Regions from separate parts of the Mus musculus genome. Here region 2 is reported to be linked to region 1. The links are microRNA targets in miRTarBase. Many come from high-throughput screens and were not tested one by one. Region 1 holds a microRNA gene; the other region holds the end of a gene's coding sequence.
Evidence for each region. The annotated mature microRNA mmu-miR-3076-5p reads CACAGGGGAAGCUCAGUGCCAGCC and lies in region 1 at 3,041-3,064, shown strand. An mRNA with a match to its seed (bases 2 to 7 or 8) in the 3' UTR can be bound and repressed. Matches are read on the target gene's strand: a 7mer-m8 pairs with bases 2 to 8, a 7mer-A1 pairs with bases 2 to 7 and ends in A, and an 8mer does both.

Region 2: the mRNA of Rgs9bp is a reported target of mmu-miR-3076-5p. Seed matches in the 3' UTR shown: 7mer-A1 at 1,266-1,272.

The regions. Positions count from the first base shown.
Region 1 is chr14:30,569,110-30,577,075 of GRCm38, forward strand. Mir3076 (microRNA 3076) reads left to right here and starts at 3,040; the gene lies at 3,040-3,099. It overlaps Tkt (transketolase), which reads left to right. Exons shown (of 14, transcript NM_009388.6): 8 at 1-30; 9 at 847-1,003; 10 at 1,094-1,224; 11 at 1,854-1,937; 12 at 2,043-2,136; 13 at 3,099-3,221; 14 at 4,228-5,615. The coding sequence ends at 4,403.
Region 2 is chr7:35,581,815-35,584,814 of GRCm38, forward strand. Rgs9bp (regulator of G-protein signalling 9 binding protein) reads right to left here. Exons shown (of 1, transcript NM_145840.3): 1 at 1-3,000. The coding sequence ends at 2,693. Among named protein-coding and RNA genes, the nearest start is that of Rgs9bp, 2.3 kb to the right of the region's middle.

The sequences.
Region 1 (7,966 bases):
ATTGAGTGCTACATTGCCGAGCAAAACATGGTGGGTGCCTGGGTAGGGTGAAGGACACACAGCCACAGCTGCAGGGCTATCCTGACAGGTAGCAGCAGGCGGAAGCCCTCTTTCTCCCTCGGGCAGCCGTATTGACAGTGCTGAGTGACAGCCGTGGGTCAGCTGAAAGAAAACCACAGAGTAACTAGAACCCACATTGACCTTTGACCTTGGGTAGCCAATTTTGGGGATGATTATTCCCAAGGGAGGAGCTTGTATATAGGACAGATAATGGAGGTAAAGGGGACCTGCTGGTCTATAGAGCCTTTAAAAAAAGGGAGGAGGAGGCTCCTATGTAGCCCAGGACACCCTAGATTTCAGTATGTAGCTAAGGCTAGTTTGAATTCCCGATCCTCCTATGCCCCAAGTTGCTGGGATTATAGATTGCAACCATCCTGGTGTCAAAGGAAACTTGTTGATTTTTGGTCTTTTTTTTTTTTTTTTTTTTTTTTTTTGTTTGGTTTTTCCGAGACAGGGTTTCTCTGTATAGCCCTGGCTGTCCTGGAACTCACTTTGTAGACCAGGCTGGCCTCGAACTCAGAAATCCGCGCCTGCCTCTGCCTCCAGAGTGCTGGGATTAAAGGCGTGCGCCACCATGCCCAGGAAACTGAGTTTAAGAGTTTTGAAATAATCATTTCAAGTCAAAGGAGTTTGGGGCTGGGAAACAGATGACAGAGCCACGGGTACCCAGGCAACTCTCGAGGGTTAGCATACTAGGATCGCAGCCTCTTCTGCCTCCCACATGTGGCCTCGGGAGGGTTCTGGGCTCCCTGTTCTTCAGGGCTAATCTGGCCCTCCTGCCCTCAGGTGAGCATTGCCGTGGGCTGTGCCACACGTGACCGGACAGTGCCCTTCTGCAGTACTTTCGCGGCCTTCTTCACACGGGCCTTCGACCAGATTCGCATGGCCGCCATCTCTGAGAGCAACATCAACCTCTGTGGCTCCCACTGTGGTGTGTCCATTGGTGAGTTCAGACCTGTTGCTAAGCACCAGTGCGTGTGGGAGGGCACGCTGGAAGCTGGAGCCAATCATCAGCCTCTTTTCAATACTCCAGGGGAAGACGGGCCCTCTCAGATGGCCCTCGAAGACCTGGCCATGTTCCGGTCAGTCCCCATGTCCACCGTCTTTTACCCAAGCGATGGAGTTGCAACAGAGAAGGCAGTGGAGTTAGCAGCCAACACAAAGGTTAGTCGTGTGGCTGTTCTTTTGGAAGCTAGCTCTTCCACAGAGGCAGAAGAGGAGGCCAGCGCAAGGTAGAGCTGGTCACTTGCTGCCTAGGGAGGCATTTCCTGGCCATGTCCCTCGTGTGTGTATACCTTAAAGAAACAAGACTGAGAAAATCAAAGCATACCATTCGTCATGCATCATGGCAGACACTGCCAGCTGATGGGCACTCTGCCAGCTTGACCACTGGTGTTTGCCTTCCTTGGGTTGAAGGACAGTAACCCGAGTCTCTGGTCCAGGACAATAACTGACTTGCCTCAGACTGGCATACAGAGTTTCCCGTGTCCCACCCGAGAGCCGGGGCCAGCCTTACCGAGGCATTCTGGGGAGTAGCCCCACTGAGAAGCCAAGCCAGTTTACCTTTTAGAAGTTGCTTCCAGTCTGAGATTAGCCAGGCTGTGGGTGCTTCTTCTCCTGTGTTCAGAGGTACCAGCTACAGGGAACCAGCCCCATCTCTTTGCCATAGCGCCAGGACACAATGACTGTGCCCAGGTTATAATTGACTGACTAAATGAGGCTTGTATCTAGGAAGGGTGGCCCTCTAGAAGACCAAGCTGTCGTGTTTCTCAGTTTATCTGTTCCAATCCCAGGGCATTTGCTTCATCCGGACCAGCCGCCCAGAGAATGCCATTATTTATAGCAACAATGAGGATTTCCAGGTCGGCCAAGCCAAGGTCAGTGCCCTTCGTGTATGAGAACCCGAGGGAGCCACCCACCCTGCTGCTGCTTCTACTCTCAGACCCTGCTCTGGCCCCTCACTGTCCCCATGTCACCCGCAGGTGGTCCTGAAGAGCAAGGATGACCAAGTGACAGTGATCGGGGCTGGTGTAACTCTGCATGAGGCCTTGGCTGCTGCAGAGAGTCTAAAGAAAGGTAAGAAGAAAGGGACCAGGGAGGTCACAGGCTGGTCACACAGAATCTCTAGTTAAGTCATGATGACAATAACTGAAGCCACCCTTTGAGCCATTACGCCATGTCCATGCTATGTTCTAGGACTGGTGACTATCCTCACCTATGATCCCTTTGTATCAGATCGGAGGCCATGGAGCCTGCCAGGAAAACTGAAGTCACAGCTCAGCCGGTCACTAGTTAAATGACTTATTCACCGTCTTTGTGTCTCCGATTCCCCACGTGTAAACTGGCACTTAGCCTTTATGACTGTCCCAAGGCCTTAGGTGTGCCTTGGCATTCATACTGTTATTATTACTATAAGTATAATGTTGTTAGCTAGTGATACCGTAGGGACAGAGCGTCAGCCTCGTCCTCTCAGTGAGATCGCCAGACACGTCACATCTCAAGCTTGTGAGCACCAGGAAGCAAAAGGTGGTCCCTTGGTTGGGTGACCTGAGTGGCCTGTGCAATGTGGGGGTGAACAGGACTGAGGCTGTAGCAAGCTGGGCCTGAGAGGTCAAGAAAGCTCCACCCAGACAGGGTGTCTAGGCAGCTGGGTGTGGTGAGGTGGCTTTTATTCTGAGAAAGTCACTCTGGCTACAGCTCTTCTCCCCACTATCCCAAAAACCTTTATGTTAGATCAGATATCTGAAGTCTTCCTTTTATCTTCAAAGGCATAGGAGGATAAGAGCCCCATAGTCTGCTCTAACAGTCGGTCCACAGGGCACCCAGCTGACCACTATCTCTCCCAAACAGGAGAGAATAGGGAGAAGAGCTATTCTCAATGGTGAGAGTAAGTGGACAGACAGCTAGCCACCAAAGAGTAGTTCTTCTTAGGCCCAAGACGCCCCATTCGGGATAAGGGGCCATTGGAGTTCTGTTCTAACACAGGGGAAGCTCAGTGCCAGCCTTTCTCTTAGCCGCACTCTGGTCTTCCCTTGCAGATAAGATCAGCATCCGGGTGCTGGATCCCTTCACTATCAAGCCCCTGGACAGGAAACTCATCCTAGACTCTGCCCGAGCAACCAAAGGCAGGATCCTCACCGTGGAGGACCACTACTACGAAGGTAACTGGGGCTGCACCAGCCTGGCGAGGGAAGGCCAGAGAGAGCAGTAGGGGAGGCAAGAGGTAGACACCACTTTAAGTTCCTCTGAGGACAGTCCGCCTTTGCCACTCACGGCCTGGCAGGGGCTCGGGGAGTAGAGCCAGCCGGCAAATGGGTTAGCTGGATCCCTATACCAAAGCCTAAAGCCTCAGAAGAGGCCAGGTCTCAGCTATACTGATGAAGGCTCTGGGTTTTCTGGCCACAGCTGAACTCCTGGGCCTCGTATCAAGGAGGTAAGATGGCTGGACAGGAACAAACAGGAAAGACAGTACCGAGTGTCTTCTTGAGTCCTCTATAAGTGCATGCCTGTTCTTACAGGAGCCTCTGAGGAGAGACGAGCTGAGACTCTAAGGTCAAATGCACAACTTGTGGGAGTCAAGCTGACCCCCAGCTGTACCATATGTGTGCACACACATACTAGATAAAGAAGTGTTTAAAGTATTAACTCAAGGAGCAGGGAAGACCCGGCAGTCACATAGCCTTCGAAAGCATCTATAGGTCCCCAGTGTCCTCTCCTGGCCTCTGAGGGCGTGGAGCAAGCATGTGGCTCACAGACATGCAGGAAAAACACTCGGTACACGTTTAAAAACAATTTTTTTTTAATTACATAAAGCTAAATGTTGAGGCTAAATCCCAGGACTCAGAAGGTGAAGACAGGTGAATCTCTGAATTCAAGACCACCTTGAGCTACATAGGGAGTTCTAGGCCAGTCAAAGCTACAAACAAATAGATGTAGGGCTCTGATGGTAGAGTCCTTGCCTTGTGTGCATGAAGCCCTAGGTTCAATCCCCAGCACTGTGTAAAATCAGGCAAGTGGCAAAGAAAAAGTGACAAAAAGAAAGTGCACATCTGGACTTAGAATAAATCATGGGAACCCTGGTGGATTAGTGATGTCTGCTCCGGCAAGGGCTGTGTCTTTGTCATCTCTGGCTCAGGACTAAGACCTCTCTGACTTTCCTCTGCACAGGTGGCATAGGAGAGGCAGTGTCTGCTGCCGTAGTGGGTGAACCTGGAGTGACGGTCACTCGCCTGGCTGTCAGCCAAGTACCACGAAGTGGCAAGCCAGCTGAGCTACTGAAGATGTTCGGTATTGACAAGGACGCCATTGTGCAAGCTGTGAAAGGCCTTGTCACCAAGGGCTAGGGAGGGCATGGGATGCTGGGTGGGTGAACTACACATTCCAGGGAGGTTCTGGCAGAGGTGGCGAAGGTGTACTGAGTGGGGAGGTAAATATATGTTTTGAGAAAAAAATTAATCCTCAGACTCTTTTTTTTTTCCTGTGATATAAACATATCCAGTGCCAGTATGAGAAGGAGACTGGGGAGAGAGGGAGAGAGCTGGCTCTCTAGGCTTGGGGTCAGGATCTAGGTGTCCCCTGGATCTAGGTGTCCCCTGGAATCCCCTTCTCCAGTTCAGCCTCTGCAAAGCCACAACTGCTCCCACCAAGTCATAACTGGGGACACTCATTGCAGCCTGCCTTTTAGCCAAACTAGGATCCAGCCCCTTCCTTTGCCAGTGTACCCTAAATGACACCATGGAGTTCCCTCCTGCCTTATAAAACCTTCCTGGGCCCTCCATAGCTGCACCATGGCCCCCAAGGTCCCACAACTCCTCCTTTTATGGGTGGTCACTGCTGTTTCCTAGGAATTCCGCAGTGCCCTTAGGGAGGATGGGGCCCATTTGTTGAGCTATGTGCATGTTTGCCCTTTGTCGACAAACTGCTCAGCTAGCGAGTTGCCTGGCCCGATCCTTCCATGCCAGGGAACTGTATGGTACCAACTCCAGAAACAGCAGAGCAGGTAGGTTGTCTCAGGGAGATGACAGAGACTCCTCAGTGGGTGATCTTAGGGCACACCCTGGGAGGCCTTGAGCTCCGCATGTCAGGAACTCTCCTTCACTGAGAAAAGAAGGCAAGCCATCTCCCTGTCAGGACAATTGAGGAACTTCTCAGCCACGAGTTTTGAGTCTGGACATAACTACAATATGTTATGTAGTTCTGAACAAAAACAGTAAAGCTTGGGTGCTTGGTCACCACCTGGTGGCCATTTATGGTACTACAGTGCTAAGCACACCCCTACAGAGGAATCTGAGGAAGGAGACTAGGGATGGTGTTTTCTGAACTCTGTAAAGCTCACAGCAGGTGGAGGTGACAGTGACATTACTGAACTTTGTATGCATTTTACTTAATCCTTACTACAAGAAACCACTTTAGAAGGCATTCCACTTGGCTGAGTGCTAAGGATTGGTCTATGTATTGCAATGCTAAATTCTGTACCCAAAAGTCTACAGGCTTTTATTGTGCAAACCTTCTTCCTTAATTTAAAACTATTGTTTAAATAAAATGGCTACAGTCAATTACTGGAGGATTAGAGGTAGGTGGGATTGGGAGTTGAGGTGGTGGGGGGAATGGACCTTGAGCACATGGCCAAGAGAAACTGGCAAGTGTCTGGGGCACACGGCTGGGGAGGTAGCCAGGCCAGCAGTTAGGAAAGTAGATTAGGGGTTACCCCCCAGTAATGGTCAAATAAAATAACCATTCATTTATAACCTACACGGAGATGAGCTTAAGTTGGCTTAACTACAGCCCAGTATGCAGAGTAAAGGACTGCACCTCGGGTTTTTGTGGCTACCATTTTTGTCCTTGTGGCCTCCTTAAAGGGGATGCTATGTAGTCAACCATATGTAAAAGTCCTTGTCCTGTAGGACGATGGAAGGTGCCTGCAGCTTAGTGCCCTTTGTGTCAGCAAAACTGCTGTTCTCCCTAGAGGTTATAGGCTCATGAAAAGATGTTTCCAGAAGAAAATGGGACAAGTACTCCCAACCGTAGCACCGGAGAGGGTCTGCTGCACCCACCTGCTGCTGCTTGTCTGTGGGCCCAGGGATGTGCAAGGCTGAGTGAGGGGTGAGGGATAAGAACTAGAAATGCCAGTGCCTGAGCTGGTGCGGTGCTCTGAGGATTTCACAGGTGCCTGGGCCAGGCAGCAGAATTGTACATAGATGGCTTCAAGGAGCCTGTATGAGGTTCCTAACATGGCAAGAGGTAGGGGTCTGGGGAACATGTGACTTCCAGAGCAGAGATGGGGAAGGTGGCTTCTCTCACCTTCAGGCTCTCCACGGCCTGCACTCTCTTGAGGAGATGGTTAAAGCTTAAGCAGGCAGCCAGATAGATGCCTGGGGAGTAAACGGGCAGAGGTGCTCCTGAGGCACAGTCACCTAAACTCACTCAGTCTACAACATCAAACACCTGGCATTTAGGGAGCCAGGAACTCTGAGGAGTAGGTGAAGCTGCTGTGGGTTTGGTTTGGTTTGGTTTGGTTTGGTTTGGTTTGGTTTGGTTTGGTTTGGTCTGGGGTTTTAGTGAGAAGCCTTCTAGAGTGTGCTGGAATCCCAAATGCCTAGGCCTCAGGAACCTGAGGAAGCCTTTACTTCTTCCTCAGCCCTTGGGACGGTGAGAAGACCGCCATGAGCACCTGAGGCTTCCTTGTAGCTCCTGGGCCTGGTCAGGGCCAAGGCTCAAGGCTGCACAAAGGTAGGACTTTCCCTGGGCCAGCGAGAGCCTCCTGTAGCCGGCTGAAGCAAGCAAGGTCTCCTGTCACTCACACCACGTGGGCACTGGGACATGGTAACAGGAAGAAAGTGCCTTGCTCATTTCTCAGTCTTCAGCTGCATAGGTGGCAGGGCTGGGGAGCCTCGCAAACCTTCCAGATCACAACTGTAAAGGAGCAGCTCTCTCCAGTCCTGCCTCCAGTCCTGCCTCCATCCTCCTGCACTGTGGAGGAAGAGTCCTCTCCCCAGCCTCCTGTGCCTCATCCGTTGAATGGGAATAAAGGCAGCTCCCTTGGGCTGCCGGGAGGATGAACTATGATACATTCCACAATACCATCAGTACACTGTCCGGTAAGGGCTCAGAGATGTTGCTTTTCAGAGCAGTTCATTCAGGGCAAGCAAGTAGCCTTTAGCACCAGGTTTCCGGTGACTACAGACATGGGGCTGCCTACAGTTAACAGTGAGTCAGGCCCAGAACTCAGGAAGCTGCCCGGCATACTTAGCTGTTAGACTTTAAGATGACTGTTATTAACATTGCCCTGTCAAGTTTACTGAGATCCATGCTGTACAGTTCACCCTTTCAAAATAAAAGTCAATGGTGTTTTAGTAGACTCACCAAGCTGTGCGACATATTATCACCCCTGAAGAGGGAACATGCGCCTTTTATCCACCATCCCCCTGGCTGCCATCCACATTTCTGGCTCCAAGGCTGGGGTGACATCCATCCTCACCTCTCCCAAGCACCCCTTCCTTCCTGGGTGTGTGCACGTGGGAGGAATCTGGACCTCTGCCCCTCGAGTCCTCCCTTTGAGAGTGGGAAAAGGTGAAAGCCATAGCGGTCTCTGGATGAGAATCCCGAAATCAAGCCCCTCGGGCAGGGGGCTGGGATTTATTGACATGTGGATTTGCAGTATTAGTCACAGAAAATAAGTTAAGTATAAAATACAGGCAGGAGTGTTAGCCACAATGCCAGGGACTCCGGTGGAGTCAGCTTAACAGATGAAAGTCTGAAAGCTTTCTCATGAGAAAAAAGTTTCAAGGAAACTTTCTCCCGGATCTTTGGCTATTTCCCTAACCCATAAAATTAATTTTCCAAATCCACTTTAGTCTAGTGTATGGATCCACGTGCACTCTATATAGCTTTACCTTATAGTAAATGC
Region 2 (3,000 bases), not on the chromosome of region 1:
TACTGTAGTCATTAGCAGTTCACTGCTGACTCATAGCTCACTCCCTTGATAGGTGCCTTGACACCCCGAGGTTCTGCCTTCTTAATATTGGTTAATACATTTTGGGGGGTATAATGATTGAATCTGAACCTTCAAGCACGCTAAGCAAGTACCCCGCCATTAGGCTATAACCCCAGTCCTCTTTTCATCTTTTATTTTGAGATAGAGTCTAAGTTGCCCAGGATGGCCTTGAAGTCACACTCCAGACCAACCTAATTTTGAACGTGTGATCTTCCTGTATCATTGTGAAGTATCAGGCCTGCACAGAACCCAGCCTAACTGATGTATTTTGGTTTTTTTTTCTTGTCAATTATACCAAGTATGAGATCATACCAAATGTCTATAGAAGATGAATTACCTCAACATCCAAGTATGAATAGAACCAGGATTCTATCAGCAAGCTAGCTCACAAACACAAGAAGACATATTAGTTAGAAGATAGCCAGTTTTACAAGGCAAGAGGTGACTTTGCCTATGTCCTATAGCAGCTTTCTTAGACAGCATCATAACACCAAGGACTTCACCTCATGTTTAACATTTTCAATCTCAGTGAGTTTCCTGGGTTCACAGGTCTACTAGAGGAATGTTTAGTTTAAGTCAACCTTTTGCAACATTGCAATGAATTGCAGTCATCTAAGAACCATCACAGGTGGACATCTAATGACCCAGCTCATTAAATATCCAAAGAATGGCTAAGGAGTGCAAAGAGTGGCGGTAACACCCCCTCTTTCTCACTTTCAGAGGTTAAAAGGAAATCCCATTTCTAGCCAAGCAGATCTTTGCTTTTGTCCCACCAACCATTTGAAAGTTAAATGCATCTGCTTTCTCAGTACCACTTCCCCAAGCCCCTCCAGGAAGGCAGAGAGCATTTCTCACATCTCATCCTTTACCGGTGGAAAGCAGGGGCCATTTCTGCCTTTTATGTGGAGGGTTCTGGCAGTTTGAGCTATGATCTTAAAATTCAGTCTCTATTCAGGAATATAGATGTAAAAGTTTCCGTTTTGGTTATGTGCATGTGTGAATAGTGTGCCTCCATGGGGACAAATACCTGAGGTGTCCAGAAGAGGGGGCTAGACCTCTCCTAGAGCTGGAGTTACAGGCAGTTGCGAACTGCTGGCTGGCAGTGGGTGGATGAATACTGTGAACAGAACTTGCATGTTCTGCAAGTGCAATACCTACGTGTGGTGTGTGTGTGTGTGTGTGTGTGTGTGTGTGTGTGTGTGTGTTACAGGGTCTCTCTGTGTAGCCCTGGCTGTCCCGGATATTATGCAGACCAGGCTGCCCTCCAACTCAGAGATCCTCCTGCCTTTACCTCCAAGGATTAAAAGTGTGCACTACTATGTCCCGATACAGTACATACTTCTACCTCTTAAGCCATCTCGCTGGTCCCCAGGGTTTTAGAAAAAAGCAGATGCAGATTCATATTTAGCAGACTACATATACAATGTAAAAGTTCTCTAAGCTTGACTCACTTGGCATCTATGAGCTTGTGGCCCAGTTTCCTTTATACAAAAACAAACATGCAACCCAACTTTGGTACTAACGTGCTTACATTCTTTCAGATAGTGTGTGTGTGTGTGTGTGTGTGTGTGTGTGTGTACGCATGCGAGTGTTTAAAGCTCTTTAAATTCCAAATTAAAGCTGTTACATTTTGAACTCAGCTGCCAGGCTCACAACCCCTGGTTACTAGTGATACCAGCATCGCCCTTCCCTGTAACATGGGGTCAGACAGTTGGGCAGCTCTCTAGAAAACTAGCGTTCCTATTGGCTATCGAGTAAATTCCAGGGATAGATAGGATTAAGAGCTTCAAAGAGGATTCCCCAGCCCTCCCTCAAAGGAGGGTCAAACACTGTGGTCTAATTCTGGGATAAAGTAAGCCGGTGAGAAGGAGAACGTGCCTGTTTACATAGCCGTGTGGCCCTTCCCAAAGCAGCACCATCCTGTCCCTCCCCCATCCGGGGATGAGTATGGAGCGGTCTTCTCTTGAAGCAAGTGTGCAGAGGATACACCACAACCTTCTTGGCTGTGACCCTAAATGGGGTCACGACACAAAAACCTCTCATAGCTGCAGCTCCTGGTGACTAATAGGCAGGCTCTGCCAAGTGCAGTAGTGTATCACAGAGAAAGCACTTTGCACGAGCCTCTATCCGTACACACTCCCAAAGCCTAGGCCCCAAAGGATTAAGGTAACAAAACCCACGCGCATCTTACTGCAACTGGTTTCTTGTCTAGGGAACAAAATGTCTCCCTCCCCCACCACCACTATGCTTGATACAACCCCACACCTTAACAAAATTGTCTCGTCTAAAACAGAATGAGTGCTACCAACCAGCGTGAGGGCACCAAACTTGGGACATACGTCTTAACCCATCAAACTCAGAGGGACCTGGGGTCACTGTGGACCGATTTCTATTAATAGGAGGTAAAGCTCCTACAGACATTAGAGGTAATGGCCTGGCCGCCCTGTGCTGTTAACTCCTCTTGGGCCAGCATGTTAAAAAACAAAACACGTTTTGCCCAGGCAGAGGTGGGCTTTGAAAGGATCATGTTCATATGCACACATTCAGGCTCACTACCTCTCTCCTTAACGGTTCAAACCCGAAGCCCATGCCCTGGAAAGAAAAGGGGCAGCGGACGACCGTTGGATATCAGTCAGCTCAGCTTTGCCACACATAAGGCGAGGGCCACAGCCACCAACAGCACGGCGCTGAAAACGGTGGCAGCCAGGGCCTTGCTGGGGTCGCAGGGGCCCGCGCGCTCCTCTACCGAAATGCCACCGGCTGAGGACGCGCCGGCACTGGCACCGGACAGGAGTTCGGCGCCTGCCGCTTGTCGCGCCTGTACAGTCCAGCGGGGCACGTTGACTTTCATTTCCATGTCGTCAATCATCTCGCCCACCTGGAGGACTTCGCGCTCCAACTGGGGCAGATCGGCGACATCGAAGTCGCTCTCCGCTTCGT